Arabidopsis thaliana: one gene and its partners. The protein of the gene in region 3 interacts with the protein of the main gene of each other region in a pairwise test. Each region holds a gene or a part of one and is shown on either strand. Other genes may lie near its edges. The genes, in order: AT1G47530, AT4G19645, DHAR1 and UGT74E2.

The links.
Region 1: the proteins of DHAR1 (region 3) and AT1G47530 interact in a protein complementation assay, tested with the Arabidopsis thaliana proteins (one large-scale study listed by BioGRID).
Region 2: the proteins of DHAR1 (region 3) and AT4G19645 interact in a protein complementation assay, tested with the Arabidopsis thaliana proteins (one large-scale study listed by BioGRID).
Region 4: the proteins of DHAR1 (region 3) and UGT74E2 interact in a two-hybrid assay, tested with the Arabidopsis thaliana proteins (one large-scale study listed by BioGRID).

The regions. Positions count from the first base shown.
Region 1 is NC_003070.9:17,449,634-17,455,034, forward strand, and holds AT1G47530 (MATE efflux family protein), read left to right. Parts: upstream 1-1,919; 5' UTR 1,920-2,090; coding exon 2,091-2,360; exon of another isoform or gene 2,361-2,654; intron 2,655-2,755; coding exon 2,756-2,951; intron 2,952-3,040; coding exon 3,041-3,386; intron 3,387-3,482; coding exon 3,483-3,569; intron 3,570-3,654; coding exon 3,655-3,711; intron 3,712-3,803; coding exon 3,804-4,161; intron 4,162-4,243; coding exon 4,244-4,330; intron 4,331-4,423; coding exon 4,424-4,477; 3' UTR 4,478-4,828; downstream 4,829-5,401.
Region 2 is NC_003075.7:10,689,223-10,694,682, reverse strand, and holds AT4G19645 (TRAM, LAG1 and CLN8 (TLC) lipid-sensing domain containing protein), read left to right. Parts: upstream 1-1,851; 5' UTR 1,852-1,870; intron 1,871-2,661; exon of another isoform or gene 2,662-2,691; intron 2,692-2,720; exon of another isoform or gene 2,721-2,922; coding exon of another isoform or gene 2,923-3,009; exon of another isoform or gene 3,010-3,196; intron 3,197-3,287; 5' UTR 3,288-3,384; coding exon 3,385-3,498; intron 3,499-3,585; coding exon 3,586-3,674; intron 3,675-3,743; coding exon 3,744-3,885; intron 3,886-3,981; coding exon 3,982-4,056; intron 4,057-4,123; coding exon 4,124-4,321; intron 4,322-4,406; coding exon 4,407-4,466; intron 4,467-4,613; coding exon 4,614-4,742; 3' UTR 4,743-4,925; downstream 4,926-5,460. Other genes in the region: AT4G19650 (Mitochondrial transcription termination factor family protein), read right to left, coding at 1-1,295; ARA7 (Ras-related small GTP-binding family protein), read left to right, coding at 5,234-5,272.
Region 3 is NC_003070.9:6,772,770-6,776,484, forward strand, and holds DHAR1 (dehydroascorbate reductase), read right to left. Parts: upstream 1,755-3,715; 5' UTR 1,645-1,754; coding exon 1,587-1,644; intron 1,463-1,586; coding exon 1,372-1,462; intron 1,186-1,371; coding exon 693-1,185; 3' UTR 533-692; downstream 1-532. Other genes in the region: AT1G19565 (uncharacterized protein), read right to left, coding at 110-201, 310-362; GAMMA CA1 (gamma carbonic anhydrase 1), read left to right, coding at 2,168-2,282, 2,537-2,680, 3,246-3,371, 3,474-3,625. UniProt on the Arabidopsis thaliana protein: Displays a dual function. As a soluble protein, exhibits glutathione-dependent thiol transferase and dehydroascorbate (DHA) reductase activities. Key component of the ascorbate recycling system.
Region 4 is NC_003070.9:1,702,478-1,706,657, reverse strand, and holds UGT74E2 (Uridine diphosphate glycosyltransferase 74E2), read left to right. Parts: upstream 1-1,819; 5' UTR 1,820-2,018; coding exon 2,019-2,663; intron 2,664-2,745; coding exon 2,746-3,462; 3' UTR 3,463-3,656; downstream 3,657-4,180. Other genes in the region: AT1G05675 (UDP-Glycosyltransferase superfamily protein), read left to right, coding at 3,943-4,180. UniProt on the Arabidopsis thaliana protein: Glucosyltransferase that acts on the auxin indole-3-butyric acid (IBA). Mediates abiotic stress responses and stress-induced morphological adaptations by regulating auxin homeostasis.

The DNA of each region.
Region 1 (5,401 bases), about 11 Mb from region 3:
TATTTTTGCGGGAAAAATGTTTTTGAGAAAAAAACTTTGATGGAAATTTTTTTTTCGAAATTTTTTGGTGGGAAATTTATTTTGGAATATTTTAGGCGAAAAAATATTAATATTTCATTTTGTTAACCTAAAACAATTTCGAAATATGAGTAAAATGGTCATTAAAAATTTAAAGAGGTATAAATGAAAATGGCAAATAAGAAAAGGTAGAATTGAAAAGGGGTAGTGTGGAAAGGACATTCTGAGCAATTATTCAATATTGTATGACTACTAAATTCTCATATGCAAATGTGAAATCAAATTTGTATTCAATCACTTGTTTATATAATGTCTGGTTCTTTAGATATTAGCTCACTTCAGGTAAGAAAACAAAATGTGGTAGCCTCATTACTTCATTAGTGCAAAGAAAGTGATTCTTTGGGATAAATTTGGATAATTTTGAATCAAAGCTGTAGTAGGACAATACACTTTTATAGTATTTTTTATTAAAGGGAAAACTCAACATCTAAAGGCAAGGAATATCCAACAGTTTGAACGCTAAACAATCAAGGGACAAGCAGAGCGTTTTCTAAATAAAGTTGCCGTTCTTTGAGAGCCGAGCTCGAACCGTAATCTGGCTTCATCACACACATAGTTCATCTTCCCGGTCGTCCCATCTCTGCAATCAGGAAAATGCAACCTCGATCCAAACCTCATATCACCTCTTTCCTTAATATTCTCCATAATATCTTTCACAATCACACCATCCATATCTCCTTCAGAGGCAATCGATGTAACCTTAAGCAGCTTAGGCCACCACGGTTTGATATTGTAACTAAATACTCACAAGAGTTAATCTATGTTAGTTTTCGAAACAAAAGAAATATGTGAACAAAACTAACAACCAAGGAGTGAAATCTTTTGAGTCCACATGCAATATGTGATACAACGAGGATTCATCCCTCTCAGTATAGACTAGTTATTCTGAAACATAGCTTCCTCACTACCGCAAGAATCCCATGATACAACAACTACGCTCTTACAACAATGGTTAATTTGATCACGATTCAATAATCATCTACCATGATTCACTCTCTTTTTGGTTAAAGTTCAAAGTAATATTTTCGCATTTCTTTGATATAAAACGATGTCGATTATTTGGTTCATGACTTTTTATTTCTCTTAGTTTCACAACAACTTCGCTCTCACAACAATGGTTAATTTGAGCACTAACCAATGACCAATTGACCATGCATGATTCACTCTCCTTTTGGTTAAGTTCAGACAGTGTAAAAGCTTTTCTTGTTACAAAATGCTGTCGATTTTTTGGTTCATCAATTTTATTAATTTCTTTTGCACTTTCACCAACACCTAATATTAAAAAGAAAATAAAAACAAGATCCACCAATTCAATGCGATAGGGTAAGTGACTAAATGTTCATTGCCGTTGTCACCCTTTGAACCCAATTTAGGACTCAAAGAGCCGTCTGATTATATTTAACCTTGGTCGAAGTATTTCTAACGAGCTGGTAAGTCCTCATTGGTCCATTATATTCACTGTCCACAATAATTTTAATTACTTGTACGACTCGGTTAACTCCTTCTAGGAAAAACTAAAGTGTACCTACCTAGTACATACGTACTTCTTCATATTACCACAAGTTTTTTTTTTTTTTTCTTGCATTCAACTACGTGTTTAAAGTTTCGGCCCCAAACTTCGGCCCAAAAACAAAAACCAAATAAACTATTACAAAAATCTTTGTTATCATATCACACTATCATTTCAAGTTTTCAACCAATCCATACTCTTAACAATCCCATTAAATTGAGATTTATTCATATTAAGAAATTATGCTGATAATATTTAACTACCAAATTAGGCCGATTCATACCAAAACTATAGAATATGTACTAAATAATTCCATTACCTTCGTTTAGTCATTTTTGGCGGTTTATTTCTTTTGGATAGATCTCATGTCAGACCTTTTTAGACTATTCATTATGGCACCTACCACACTAGTGTGTCTCCATCTTCTGTATTTATATACATATATCATAAGTCAGAACAAAGAGAAAGCAAAGAAGAGAAACTAAAACAGAGCTTTTTTCACATGGGAAAGGATAAGACTTTGCCGTTGCTTGACCCTCGTGAGCCACCGGAACTCACCGGAACCAAGTCGGCGTCAAAAGTATGGGCCAAAGAGTTCGGCGAAGAGTCGAAGCGGCTTTGGGAGTTAGCAGGACCAGCGATTTTCACTGCCATAAGTCAATACTCTCTTGGTGCTCTCACTCAGACTTTCTCCGGCCGTCTCGGTGAACTTGAGCTCGCCGCCGTCTCAGTTGAAAACTCTGTTATCTCCGGTCTTGCCTTCGGTGTCATGGTATGTTACGTAAACACCCTTCACACGTGTCAGGTTCTTGGTAATGGATAATGTGTTCTAATAATAGCCACAGAAATAAAAGTCAATATTTGAGGACTTTTTTTGTATTAATTAATATCAATATTCGTTAATATCAATGAAGTAGATTTTCCCATACATTTAAAATTGTTTCGTAATTGTGATTAAGTAAATCCTAACAGTGTGTTTTATATTCAAATAAAGTAGATATATTAATGTAGTTGAGTTCAGTGTTATAATATTTGTTATACAAGTAATCTCTACGAGGGTCCTTGTGTAAGCTCTCTTGAATTTTGTTGCTTGTCATTTAAGTTTCCTATGAAAAAAGCTTAGAGATCAAACAATATAAACATTTTGATGATGGAAAATGGTGGCAGTTAGGGATGGGGAGTGCATTGGAGACGTTGTGTGGACAAGCATATGGCGCGGGACAGATTAGGATGATGGGAATATATATGCAACGTTCATGGGTCATTCTCTTTACTACTGCTTTGTTTTTGCTTCCCGTCTACATTTGGGCTCCTCCTATTCTTTCCTTCTTCGGCGAGGCTCCTCACATCTCTAAAGCCGCGGGTATCATTCTTGTTATTCCTTTTTGCCAATTGGTTTTGAGTTTGGAGTCAATGTTCACGTAACAACTTCTGCGTTGTTATAATTTTCAGGGAAGTTCGCATTGTGGATGATCCCGCAACTATTTGCCTATGCAGCCAACTTCCCGATACAGAAATTCTTGCAGTCACAGAGGAAAGTTCTTGTGATGGCTTGGATCTCTGGAGTGGTTTTAGTTATACATGCAGTTTTTAGCTGGCTCTTCATTCTTTACTTTAAGTGGGGACTTGTAGGTGCAGCTATCACTCTCAATACCTCGTGGTGGTTGATTGTTATTGGTCAGCTTTTGTATATCTTAATCACCAAATCAGACGGTGCGTGGACTGGATTTTCTATGCTAGCGTTTCGGGACCTCTATGGATTTGTCAAACTTTCCTTAGCCTCTGCTCTTATGCTTTGGTACCTATCCAATTTTTTTTGGCTAGAAGATAGCTTTAGACTTACGTTAGCTGAGACTTCGCTTGTAATGAAAGGTTAGTTGTTTTTGTTTTGCAGTTTGGAGTTTTGGTACTTGATGGTTCTGGTTGTTGTTACCGGTCTCCTTCCTAACCCGTTGATACCAGTCGATGCCATCTCCATTTGGTAATCAATTTGTGCTGATCTTTGGTTAGTTTCTCACTGAAAATAGGTTTGTTTAGTAACATATTTTATGTTTTGGGGTTCACAGCATGAATATAGAAGGGTGGACTGCCATGATTTCGATCGGGTTTAACGCTGCGATTAGGTAAGTTCTCTACCTTTATGTTTCAGGAGCCACATTTGGAAAGCTAATAAAAATCTCATGAACTGGTGAACTTTGTCTCTTGGTGTGATCAGTGTGAGAGTATCGAATGAGCTGGGTGCAGGAAACGCAGCGTTAGCCAAATTCTCAGTGATAGTCGTCTCCATAACTTCAACTCTTATCGGGATAGTGTGCATGATTGTTGTCTTAGCCACAAAAGACAGCTTCCCTTATCTTTTCACTTCAAGCGAAGCTGTGGCAGCAGAAACCACGAGAATAGCCGTCTTGTTGGGCTTCACTGTCCTCTTGAACAGCCTCCAGCCCGTCTTGTCAGGGGTTGCGGTTGGAGCGGGGTGGCAGGCTCTGGTTGCATACGTGAACATTGCGTGTTATTACATTATCGGACTACCTGCTGGTCTTGTTCTTGGATTCACACTAGACCTCGGCGTTCAGGTTAGCTATTTACTAATATGACCATTTTGTATTAGCCTTGTTCTTTTTAATCTGGTGTTAAATCATTTGTATATTTTTGTAGGGAATATGGGGAGGTATGGTAGCTGGAATATGCTTGCAGACACTTATATTGATTGGAATCATCTACTTCACTAACTGGAACAAAGAGGTCTCTTACTTTGTCTTTTAGTTGCTGCTATGTTCCTCCTTTGTGTTTGGTTTGATCATTTCATTAATTAGCTTTGAATTCTAAATTATGCAGGCTGAGCAAGCGGAGAGTCGAGTTCAGAGATGGGGAGGAACGGCGCAGGAGTGATCAACAACTCCCTTAGGACGTGGACTATATCAGTTATTGATCTTTTTTTGTCAATGTTCAATGTTGAGAAAATTGTTTATCGGAGAACAACATCATCTCTTTTTGTTTTTTGATATGCTTAAAGTTAACGAGTCTCTCAGTGATTGTTAGAGGGGTACGGTTTGTTATGTGTTAGACTTATGTTAGATTCTAGGATGGTTGTTGCTAAGCCAAAGTTCTTGATTAATTTTAAGTATGAGATTTAATCTTCATAAGCTTGTTGATCCTTCGTTTTTATTTTAATGGTCAGACTTGATCCAATGTTTATGTTCATTTGAAGGCGAAGATCTTACCGTTTGTCAAACATAGCTAATTAGTGGTGGTATTAGCAACAGATCTTTAGGACTGTCGTTGATCTGTTGCAACTCAGTCACTAAAAATTAACAAATCTTATATAAACAAGAGGAATATTAAAAAGAAAAAAAGAAGATGAAAATGAATATCAAAATAGTTGTGTGACGATACAATATATTAGAGATGGACTACAACAATTCATGAATCAGGGTCACAGACTAACCGTTAAAGCAGTAAATTTGTCTGCCCATCTCATAAGTGTTTGAATTAAAATTTAGGTCAGTCGAGAGCTGTGTGCTATATACTAGATAGTCTACCCTTAATTACTATGTTTGGTTTTCGCATGGAGATTTACTATAAATACACAAACAAGTAATAGTGCTCAAATTGTGAATCAACCCATGCACTAATCCTTTTCATCAATTCGGTCACGGTTAGGATAATGGATTCCGTAATATGGTAACAAATGCATTTTCTGAAATATCAAACTAACATCATTTAATGATTATATTGTTTGATACATTTTATGATATATCAAACTCTGTAAATCAACCAATATATATACAATTACAGTCTAACTTATCTTTTTTT
Region 2 (5,460 bases), on a different chromosome or scaffold from region 3:
TCTTCCGAAAGAGGTTTGCTTTTTCTCTTCTTCGTTGTAGAAACAAAACAAAACAATCTCAAAGGCTCTTTCTTTAAGATCTTACATAGCTCGTCTTGTTTAACATTCAAACTAAGACAAGCAGTTCTAGGTGCTGGCAGAGAGCATGAACCAATAAGCTCCATATGACTCAGCAAAATCTTCGTGATAAACTGCGTTTCCATTCTAATAGCAATCAAGAAATCCAACGTCTTCTGAATATTTTTCACGCATTTGTCTGACAACATCTCTGGATTGTCTATAAATAGCCTATAAATCTCATTCACTTGAAGCCCCGCTTTAAACAACCTACCAAACAGAACATAGAATTTCTTTCCGGAGCCTTCGATTACCAAAGCTGGATACGTTTTCAAAAGACTACTCAACTTCTCCTCTTTACATCCCACTTTATCAAGAAACTCTATTGTCTCCAGAATTCTGCGCCAGCTATATGTTTTCCGGTCAGACAAGTACCGCCCAAGCCAATCACATCCTACTTGTAACCCTTTCAACTTATCAACTACAGAAGAAAACTCAGCATCAATCCCACCAACCAGTAGCAAAGGGCAACTAGTAACTAACTTAATAACTGTAGCCTTACTAAGACCCAAATTCTCATAACCCCTTAGCTTCATCGCCAACATCCCAGATTCATATCTAAAAATCTCTCTCGCTTCTTTATACATACGGCCAATCTTACCACGCGGGATCCCATAGTTGCAAAGAGCATGAAAGTTCTCAAACATGATACCATCATCACTCAAAAACATTAGCTTCCGTGGAAGAAACGTTTCAAACTCATAAGGACACAAACCCAAACTCTCGAAAAACGGTTCAAACTCGTTTATCGGATTGTACCTAAGGAACTTAGTCAATCCCTTGGATACATCTTTCTGATTATCATCAATCTTAGACAACAAAGTCGACATAAAACAAGGAGAATTCTTACTTATATGCTCTGCATCAGTAAAAGTAAAGCTTCTAGTATAATGCAAGTAATCAAAAAGAGCTTCTTGAGCTTGATTCCTACTAGCCCTTGATACCGGATTAACGAAAAACCTAGTTGGTAAGTGAGACGAGTGTTGTTGTAACTTAGATTTATCCTGACGAACACAGCTTTCAATCTGAAAACTCCGAAATGGAACTGAAACACGAGAAAGGTCGAACCTTTGAACTGGGTTTTGACGAGGAATAGATGAGAAAGTTATACAGTAGTTGAGATTTGAAATCATATTCAACAGTTTATGAACTCTTCTCTGATTTCTGGATAATAACATCGCAACCTAACAACAAAGAGAAACAGGTGAAAGTCACAATCAAATAGAGAGCTATGAAGAATTCTCAATGCTTACTCTTTCAAGTAAGAAATTTACCTGAAATTAGGGCTTATTAAGCATTTGAATCAACCATTTTCCCAAGATTCTTAGGGTTCATAGCCAAATCTCAGTTACTTTGCTTAAACCTTGTTCTGGCTTCAAATTAAGGTGGAAATTTCAGAGAAGCCCCTAAACGTTTATAATATATCCGAAACGACCATAATCTTATTTTTCTATACTTCAATATGTGCCTAAGAGTTTCCGAAATATCATAAAGGTACCAATTAGTGCATCATCAACACTTGGCCTTAAAAGACTTGACGTGAGATATTATTATTCCTCTTTTGATACCGAATTAATAGACTTGTCAAGTTTAGACTTGTCAAAAGTGATAAACATATCACACGAAATCGTGTTATTATCACGAGCGTTACAAATTCTTCAAGTATATCACTATAAAACGACTTCAAAACCCAACCAAGTGGTGATTTCTTTGAGCTGACTATATGTATGCAAGATAAAGGCAGCAAGAAACGGTGAGTTTTCTTCACGAGCATAAATGGTTTGTTCGTCTTTCTGATTTTTGATTTTATAGATATGTAACTTTTTTATTAGGTCAATTTCAAGTGGTCCATGGTAGATTCAATTCATGTTAGGTCATCATCTTCAAGCTAAAACGCCTACCAAACATATAATAACAAGTATTCTTTTAATCACTAGTTTTAGTTTCAAAATATTTCTGACTATCTTAAGTGCATTTAGATTTTAGTTCAACATGATGGAAAAAGATAACTTGACTCTTGTTTAACTTGCATATGTTTTGTTTGACTATTTGTTATGTTTGAGAGGAATGATTTTTCTTTGTAAAACAGCTTTATATAAAACTTGTGGCTTACTCGGATGAATTTTATATTTGTTTTGATTATTTTTCAAATGTTGTTTTTTTCAAAACCTTTTGACAGTAAATTACAATATAAATTATTTTCAAAGATCTTAATATGTCTTATTTAAGTGAATTTTTAATTATAATTATAAGTAAATTATTAAATATAGATTATAACAATGAAGTTAAATCTTATTCACTATATCTTTAAATATTTTTTTCTCTTATTTTTTTAATATTTTATTCACTATTTGTAACAAAATTATAAAAGCCAAAATTACCAAATTTCTGCAAGAAAAAACAAAAAACAAATCCTTGGCTCCTCCTAAAATCCACCTACCTTACCCTTTTATATATAAGATACAACCAAAAACAAGATGATTTGGTGCTTTCAATATAAAAGATATAATATTTCATAATTAACATATTCTCCCTTAGGTTTTCCTGCACACTCGATTTAAATCGTCTAACAAGGTCAGAATCCATAATTTATACAACCATTTTCTGCTTCCTTTGTTTCCTCCCTAATTACATGTTATTAACTATTAAGCATATCCTTAAAACAAAACCCAAACTGAATTATCTTTGTCAATAGTTGTCTTCTCTCTCGATTATTCTTAAGATAACTACTTTGGTAGTTTTGTTTTTTTAATTACTACTGCACCCTCTTGCGCTTCAAGTTACTTGGTAAAAAACTCTCTTAACTTTGGATAATTTCTCGAAGTCTCTGAAGAAAGAACCCTTTTTTTCTTCTCTCATAATCGTCTCTGTAACGTCCTTCTCCTTCTTCATCTTCTTTGCGTTTCTTCTGCAGCCTTTTGCGGTTCACGTGTTGATTGCTTCTGTCTCTACTTTTTGTCCGTTTTAAAGTTTAAACTTATTGTTACAAAATTGGATTTTCTCTGATCAAACGATAAAAACAGAGTCTTTTAGTATCTTCTTCTTGGGTATAACGAAGATTTTTGTGGTTTCTTCTGATGTAATTCACAAAACCATTTGTATAATCCTTGAAAAGACTTTTTGTTCAGAAATGAAGTTTCTTACTTTGCTCTTTCTTTTCTATATTTCAGTAATGATGATGATAAAGCTTGAGAGAAGTGATTAGTCTGTAGAAGAAGAAGAGTTAAAACCATTCACCAAAGAAGAAATTGAGAACTAGAGACAGTCATGGAGATCAAATCTTACCAAAATCAAGCAGAGTATTTTGTTGAACACTATTTATTAGCAGATCCATTTCTTCCATATACTTCTGTTCTTGTTGGAATCTGTCTTTGCAAATTGGTAAGTTTTGCTTCTCTTCACTTACAATTGCAGAAACTTCACTTTTTTCTGCATTCTGTTTTTAAACAGTGTAGCTTATGTTCTTAGGTATATGATCTTACGGAGTTATTCAGCTCAATTCATGTCAAATCATACTCAGCTCTCACAAAAATAAAGAGAATTGAATGGAACAACAGGTATGTATAGGTTCCTTGTTTCAGCCTTTATATGTTATGCTCTAGTCTCTTATCACTTTGGCTTGACAGGGGAATTTCTACAGTCCATGCGATCTTTATCTCATTCATGGCATTATACTTTGCGTTCTTCTCTGATTTGTTTTCTGACCAAAGAAGCCTTGAAACCCTTACGGTGTTTCGTAACTCGCCTCTGTCTACCTTTGGTTTAGGAGTAAGTTTTGATCTTTCTTCATTTTATCTCACAAGTCCTACTCATGAGCATTGATCAACTTATATGGTACTTTGTTGTGATGTGTTTTTTGCATAGGTATCAGTTGGTTACTTTCTTGCGGATCTTGGAATGATCTTTTGGTTATACCCTTCTTTAGGAGGATCAGAATATGTAAGTTAGACACATGAAAGCTTATGTGGTCTTCAATTACTTGACAATCTTGTGTTTTTTGTTTCAGATATTACATCACTGCTTATCTGGAACAGCAGTAGCGTATTCTTTGTTCTCTGGAGAGGCTCAGCTTTACACATACATGGTTTTAATCTCTGAAGTGACTACACCAGAGATCAATCTTAGATGGTACCTTGACATTGCTGGTTTGAAACGATCTAAAGCTTATCTTGTTAATGGAGTTGCTATATTCTTTGCTTGGTTGGTGAGTTTCTTAAAACCTTTGTTTTTCGTTGTAAATGTCTGAAAACTTGATCTCCTTTTTTATAGCAATGATGTTTTGTTTGCAGACAGCAAGAATTCTTCTGTTCATCTACATGTTTTACCATGTCTACACACATTATGATCAGGTAATCAAGATTTCGGTTTGATTATCTCTAAACCAAACGGTCTAGCCTTTAGGAAAAATAGGAATTACTCTGTTTTTTTTTTTTTTTTGCTGTTGTATTGGTTAGGTTTAGAGATAATGAATTGATGATCAATGGATTTTTCGGCAGGTGATAGAGATGCATACATTCGGTTATCTACTGGTATTTGTTGTACCGATTTCATTGAGTGTCATGAACTTGATCTGGTTTGGTAAGATAGTGAAGGGATTGAAGAAAACTCTTGAGAAAAGACAGTGAAGAAAGAGTTGTGTTTTTTTTTTTATGTAAATATAAAACTCTTATGAAGAATCTTACAAGTTTATAAGCAACAAAGATATGGTTTGTTTCTAACTTTTAGCTTATACACTAATTATGTTCAAAATCTCATTCCCATTATTCCCACAACAGTCCCTATGCATGCTGAATACTTAAATCCATGTACGAAATCAATAGAGGACTTAACCCAAAAAGACTTGGGCCTAAATCTACATTGGGCCAACGATTATATTCGTAGTTTTTTCGTGTCATATTAACTTGCCGTGTAATATTTGTTTACTTGTATTTTTTGTTAGTTCTAGAAAGAAAGCAACATTAATTGAGGAGGAGGAGATTGGTTGTTGTTGACGACGCGTTTCCGCTCACTAATTTTTTTTAACCTTTTTGTGTCTCCGTCGTCTTTTGATCTTCAATCTCAGTTTTGAGCTGAAGATTATCGTATCGACCTGCGATTCTCTTCAGATCGATAATCCATGGCTGCAGCTGGAAACAAGAGCATTAACGCCAAATTGGTCAGTCTTATTAGCTCGATTCTTTTGAGTTCCCTTGTGGTTGGTTTGTCTCTCTCCGATGATCGTAAAATTGATTGAATTTGCAGACCCGTTTTGTTAGATTTTCAGTTTTCTGGATTTGATTCTGTTTCTAATTTGGAGAATTTTGATACGTGATGTTGAATTGGAGAGCTTTGATCAGATTTTGT
Region 3 (3,715 bases):
GCTGGTCATCCACAATAAAATCCGATTACCTTACGACTGCTGACGGTGCGACTATAACTGCCTTCTCCCAGGAACATTCTTGGAAAATCTCACCCAACCCTACATTCACCCGCCCAAGAACATTGTATCGCAGAACGATATGGTTGATTTGTGGGATGTAAAGATCGGTAAGACTCTCGAGTCTCGACAAGACTTATGTTTCTGAGGAAGAACTCCTCAAAACCATCAAAGGTGATCAGTTAAACCATAAAAACAGTTTCTGATATCCAATATTCATCAGTCCAAACTCCAAAGTATTAAACGAGTCACTTGCATTTGCAGAGACCCAGCCTCCAATGGATTTTTTTGTGGGTTTGATCCATACGGTCCTTGCGAAGAGCGACTTTACCTCCTTGACTATAGATCCTTCTTTTGGAGTTAAGACTTCTGAGCTTTATCCTGAGGTCAAGTACACAAGTACTGTCGATGAGTTTCTTAAATAATTTGTCTGAAAAAACCCTTGTCCCTTATGTTACGTGTAGCCAGTGTTTATCCGAGTTTCGATATGGAGGCAAATCTTATTTCAAAATAGGCTTCTTATTTGATTGATACAGTACATTACATAAAAAGGTCCAAGTACATTATTTGACTGATATAAGAGAGAGACCTTGAACAACATTACCACACCAACGATCTCATAACGGTGCATAGTTTCAAGGGTTAACCTTGGGAGCCCATCCAGAGATCACATACTTTTCCTCGGTCTTAGTTTTCTCAAAAGAGTCGAGCGAGAACAGAGTCTTCATGTAGTTATGGACATGGGGAAAGCTCTCAGGGACAGACCAGCTTTTGAAATGGCCAAGAGCAACTTGAAGGTGGTAAAGCTTTGGTGCTAAGCTTAGATCCACTGCGGAAACTCTTTCTCCGGCGATAAAAGGGCCATCGTGACTCTTAAGATGGTTTTCCAAAGCTTCTAGCTCAACAAGCAAGGCATGTTCAGATCCGTCATTGGAGTCTTTGCTCTTCAAGAATGTCCCAAAAGTACCAAAAATGTTGGATCCAACAGAGGCAAATTCAGCAGGAGTCTTGAGTGGTGGATCAGGATACTTCTCCTCGAGTATACCAACGATGACGTCGGAATCAGTCACCCACTTGTCGTCGATCTTAAGCACTGGTACTTTCCCTTGAGGACTAATGTCCAAGAACCTGCATCATATATAAAACCAAAGCCACCAATTTCAAGTTCCGGTTAACACAATGCTCGCACATGAAGCCAATCCAATTTCCGGTTAACACAAAGCTCGTACCAGTTACAAGTAAAATTTCAGAGATTATGGCTAAACAAGTTCAAACTAGACCGATCTTAAGGGTTTAGGCGTGAGAGAAACTGACCACTGGGGTTTGTCAGAGAGGTTAATCAGATGGATTTTGTAGGTAAGACTCTTCTCCTCGAGTGTGAGAAGAGCCCGTTGGCTGAACGGACCTAAAACGACAAACAAACACTTAAATTAGTAAATTTACCAACGATCAAAGCTCAGAAATTAAGAATTGCAAAATCAAAAGCTTAATGCAAAACAAAAACAGAGAGAGAAAGAGAAGATGGTTACAGTCGCCGAGATGATCAGGAGCACCAACAGCAGCTTTCACACAGATTTCCAGAGCCATCTTGATTCTTCTTCCTTTGTTTGCAGAGACGGATGAATGATTGAGTTAATCAGTGAGAAGGCTTAGCTTTTAAACTGAATTATTACCATTCTCCACCCACCAGTGGGCCATTTTTACCCGATGTTTATCTTTTCTCACGTGTTATGCGTTGCAAGTGACGACGATACGAAACGACATTGTTACTGATAGGGCCATTTGATTTTTGGTCGGCAGGTTTTGGACCGTTCAATTTAGTGAAAATATAGTAATAAATTCGTACCGAATAATATAATCGGTTTAATGAAACTACTACCTGAAATATCGAATTAGATTTGGTTCATATTTCGTATTGTTTTGGTTCGATTAAACCATATTAAACCACTGTAACTGTAATTTATTGTTTCGCCGTCCCGGAATGTTCCTGTTGAAATCCATTTTCGCTGATTTTTTTTCTTCCGTCTCTTCTTCAGCTTCGACCATTTTCGTCTTCTTCATTCAGTGTTGAGTCCTCGTTTACCTGTGAGCTCGAAGAAAGTGACGATCAATGGGAACCCTAGGCAGAGCATTTTACTCGGTCGGTTTTTGGATCCGTGAGACTGGTCAAGCTCTTGATCGCCTCGGTTGTCGCCTTCAAGGCAAAAATTACTTCCGAGAACAACGTAAGATTCTGCGTAACTCTATTTTTCACTCCGATTTCGAATTCGTAAAGAGTGAGGAGTTTCGATTGGGTAATTCAGCTCACCTATTCTGGTTAGGTTAGAGATCTGGAATTGATGTCTTTGTAGGTATAGCGATTCTGGATTCGAATGGCACAAGGGATTAATTGATGTGGAATGTGTTTTGCTGCTTAGTTTTTTTTTTGTTTCCTGGTCACGAAATTTGCTTATATGTAATTGTGGTTTTCTCTGTGTAGTGTCAAGGCATCGGACACTGATGAATGTATTTGATAAGGCTCCGATTGTGGACAAGGAAGCTTTTGTGGCACCAAGCGCCTCAGTTATTGGGGACGTTCACATTGGAAGAGGATCGTCCATTTGGTATGGATGCGTATTACGAGGTGAGCTAGCTACTAAGCCTCAATGTTTGGTGTTTGGTGGTTGACTATTTTAGTGACTGAAGTTTTGTTTGAAATAGTATCTACTTCTGTATCCTTAGCTGTGTCAACTCTTACGATAGAAAATAGTGAACGAATATCTGTTTTTTACTCTTCTGGTTAAGCGATGAACAAGACTACTACTCAAAATGGAGCTTTCTAGCTTTATTGAAGGATCTTAAACAGATCATTACTACATATCGTATCTTGATGATACTGGCAGTTGCTCTAATGGGTGATTGGGTATATGATATCCCCAATCATATACAGAATGCTTTCATGTCATAACACCAGAATTAGTTGAACGATATCATATACAGATTATTGAGTTTGAGTTGAATCCTTATTGCGAGTATGAGTTGGCTAGTCTGGATTTTTATTTAATGGTGATGAAATAGGGTTGTCCTTTTTACAGAATGCTTTCATGTCATAACACATTGGTACTGTATGGCTAAGCCTGTTAGTACTTTACCAGGAAACTGGGATAACATACAATCTAAACTTGCTTTCTCTCTTTTTTTCTGCGCAGGCGATGTGAACACCGTAAGTGTTGGGTCAGGAACTAATATTCAGGACAACTCACTTGTGCATGTGGCAAAATCAAACTTAAGCGGGAAGGTGCACCCAACCATAATTGGAGACAATGTAACCATTGGTTAGTGGGAATCTCTTACTCACTGTTTATTTTGAAAATGTTTAATATGCATACATCTCCAAGAAGCATTTGGGATATAGTCTTAAATTAAATGTGTAACAGGTCATAGTGCTGTTTTACATGGATGTACTGTTGAGGATGAGACCTTTATTGGGATGGGTGCGACACTTCTTGATGGGGTCGTTGTTGAAAAGCATGGGATGGTTGCTGCTGGTGCACTTGTACGACAAAACACCAGAATTCCTTCTGGAGAGGTATGATTTTGGGTTTAACATTTCTGATTACCTGAAAACCCACAAGTAACCATTGGTGCGGGTATACTTCTATTGCTACTTAGACAGCAT
Region 4 (4,180 bases), 5.1 Mb from region 3:
TAATATGATACAAATAATGAAATAAGGGTCAAGTCATCTTTTTTTTTAATTAATTTAGGTTAAAAATTAAGAAAATAAAATGACAAATAATTAAACGATTGTGTCAAGTAAAGGAAAATAAAGATCTTGGAATTTAATTTAATTTAGAACAAAACAGATTTCTGATAGTAAACCGTAAATTTAGTGGTGGCTATATTATGCAGCAAGATTATCAGTTAACTAGATTTTAATCTGCGGTATACCGCGGGGTTATATCTTTTTTAAAAACTAAAAAGTTAATTTGTTTAGTAGATTAAATAAATATAATTCATTTTAATATTTTCTAAATGTACAACTCTTATATATATATATATATATTATTTAGTATACAATTACTATGTTTATTTTTTACTGTTTAACAATATAGAAAGAATAACACACAGTTTATTAAGTTAAAATTTAGATTATAACTAAATAATTCAAATTTTAATTATATTAATTTTATTAATATAATGATATTTTGATATATATATATATATATATATATATATATATGATTTCACCCATGATATACTGTCTCGTATTATTATCGATCCAAAGCCGTCATATCATCTAATCTCGTTCAGTGAAATTAAACATATCTAATAGATTTCACCCATGCTATACTGTCTCGTATTACCTATCGACCCAAACTCGTCATACCATCTAACCCCGTTCAGCGAAACTAAAAATTATTTTGTTATTTTTGTTTTAATAATACTTTAATTTAAAAGATATATAATTCAAATCAGTTTAAAAGTTTTATTTTAAATGGTTATTTAATTGTTTTAAAATTCATATATTATAAATATTATAAACCCGTCTTATCATCTAATCTCGTTCGGTAAAATTAAACATTATTTTTTTATTTTTTGTTTGAATAATATTTTTATTAAAAAATTTATAATTCACATCAATTTAAAAGTTTTATTTCAAATGATTATTTAATTTTTATACATTTCACATATTATAAATATTATAAAACGTTTTTCCGTTAAATATTTTAAATGTTTAACTAACTATAATATTTATTTTTAATAAAGTATAATATTAATAAATTCCTAAGATTTCTCCTTTTTAAAAGTAATTAGAATTGATGGAAATATATTAGATAAAGAAATGCTAATAATTAAGAATATTAATTAGTTATAATAATTAAATATCAATGACATCCACTGTAAATAAGTCCCAACTTAAGGATTTATTTACTAAAATAGCTCCAAAAATGTATATATAGATGTTATCAAAATTCGAATTAAAAAGTTGTAAAAAGACTCGGAGGCGGTCAAAATCAATTTTTTTATTTTCTTGCATAAATTTGTGAACTCCAGAGAATTAAGAATGACCAGTGATAGAGCTCCACGTGGATAGATTGGGTTCCAAAGTGGGACGGCGTTAAATATAAAAAGGCCGGAAGTTGTCGAAGTAGTCTTTTTTCCCATTATTTCTGTTTTCGGTTCCTTATTTTGTTCCTTTGTAATAATGAGTGACATCAAAAATATTTGGGGACGAATTAACAGGTAATGTAAATAGAAAGAAATAGAAAATTTTCTTTGATTTTACAATTTGGATTCGGATTGCATAAGCAATGACATCAACAGTAATACATAGCTGAGAGGCTGAGATGCAGTGTCTCTCTCTCAGGGAAGATGACAAAAAGAATCTGATATACACGTACGTATGTTGCGAGTTACATATTGATATATCACATGTCATAAGTCACATGCTAACGATAAACTAATAAACTAAAACAATTATGTCAACATATATCGGTGAATTGCATTATCATCGACCTCGGTCACTGTTCCGCACATCTTGGTCGCCACGGAACATAGACAATTTTTGGATTGTAGTCCAATTAATGAGTCCCCCACCAAAGCCGTAGTAAAATCGAAGTCGTTCTCTAATCCAATCATATATATATCCATAACACACACCAACAACACCCACACAACAAAAACTAGAGTCAGTAACAACACAAGATTAAAAAGAAGGAGAAAATGAGAGAAGGATCTCATCTTATCGTCTTGCCTTTCCCAGGACAAGGCCACATAACTCCAATGTCCCAGTTCTGCAAACGCTTAGCCTCAAAAGGTCTTAAGCTCACTCTGGTCCTCGTCTCCGACAAACCCTCTCCTCCATACAAAACAGAGCACGACTCAATCACTGTCTTCCCCATCTCCAACGGCTTCCAAGAAGGCGAGGAACCATTACAAGACCTCGATGATTACATGGAAAGAGTAGAAACCAGCATCAAAAACACCTTACCGAAGTTGGTTGAAGACATGAAACTGTCGGGAAATCCACCTAGGGCTATCGTGTACGACTCCACCATGCCATGGCTTCTTGATGTAGCTCATAGTTATGGATTGAGCGGTGCCGTGTTTTTCACGCAACCTTGGCTTGTCACAGCTATTTACTACCATGTTTTCAAGGGTTCGTTCTCTGTACCGTCTACAAAGTACGGTCACTCGACATTAGCATCTTTCCCTTCGTTCCCGATGCTGACTGCAAATGATTTGCCGTCTTTCCTCTGCGAATCGTCCTCATACCCGAATATACTGAGGATTGTGGTGGATCAGCTCTCAAACATTGATCGAGTCGACATAGTGTTGTGCAACACTTTCGATAAATTGGAGGAAAAGGTACAGAATATAAATCCATATAGAGGAACATGTCTCTGTCTTTTGTAGGAAGTGTTTTAAGTTTTATTTTCTCTGCTTGTAGTTGTTGAAATGGGTCCAAAGCTTGTGGCCAGTCTTGAATATTGGACCAACGGTTCCATCGATGTATTTAGACAAACGACTGTCTGAAGACAAGAACTACGGTTTTAGCCTCTTCAATGCGAAAGTCGCTGAATGCATGGAGTGGCTAAACTCAAAGGAGCCTAATTCTGTTGTCTATTTATCATTCGGAAGTTTGGTGATTCTAAAAGAAGATCAAATGTTGGAACTCGCTGCGGGTCTGAAACAGAGCGGACGTTTCTTTCTGTGGGTTGTGAGAGAGACAGAGACACACAAACTTCCAAGAAACTATGTCGAGGAAATCGGTGAAAAAGGACTTATTGTAAGCTGGAGTCCTCAGCTTGACGTACTTGCACATAAATCAATCGGTTGTTTCTTGACACACTGTGGATGGAACTCGACGTTAGAGGGATTGAGTTTGGGAGTTCCAATGATTGGTATGCCACACTGGACTGATCAGCCCACGAATGCTAAGTTCATGCAGGATGTGTGGAAGGTTGGGGTAAGGGTTAAGGCAGAAGGTGATGGGTTTGTGAGAAGAGAAGAGATTATGAGAAGTGTGGAAGAAGTTATGGAGGGAGAGAAAGGGAAAGAGATTAGAAAGAATGCTGAGAAATGGAAAGTGTTGGCTCAAGAGGCAGTTTCTGAAGGAGGTAGCTCTGATAAGAGCATCAATGAGTTTGTTTCTATGTTTTGTTGAATGATTTAAATTGATATGTTCAAAAGTACATCGTCTTTTGCAAGTCCAATTGTAATTCTTGTTGTTGTTGTAGTAATAACTAATAATATAGTTTCTCATTTGTCTTCAGCTCTCTATTAATTCCAAGTTCCAAATGATAACATGTGAGTTAAAAATCCAGGGTTTAATAAAATATCCAAGCCGGATAAAATTTTGCATAACTCTATAAAAATTCATCTCATTTTTTTTTAAAAATGAAATATACACTACACACCTAAAGCTACTTTAAATGTGACGGCCTTATGCAGTCAAAGGTCATATGGTAGGTTGAATTATCATCGATGTCTATCCCCACACATCTTGGTAGCCACGTTTGACCTTTTTGGATAGTAGTCACAAGAAAAGTCGTAAAATCAAAGTCGTCCTCTAACCCAACCTTATAAATACACACACCCACACATAACAGAGTCAGAGTAAGAACGAAAGACAAAAAAAAAAAAGATGAGAGAAGGATCTCATGTTATTGTTTTGCCTTTCCCAGCACAAGGCCACATAACTCCAATGTCCCAATTCTGTAAACGCTTAGCCTCAAAAAGTCTTAAGATCACTCTTGTCCTCGTCTCCGACAAGCCCTCTCCGCCGTACAAAACAGAGCACGACACAATCACTGTCGTCCCCATCTCCAATGGTTTCCAAGAAGGCCAGGAACGATCAGAAGACCTAGATGAGTACATGGAAA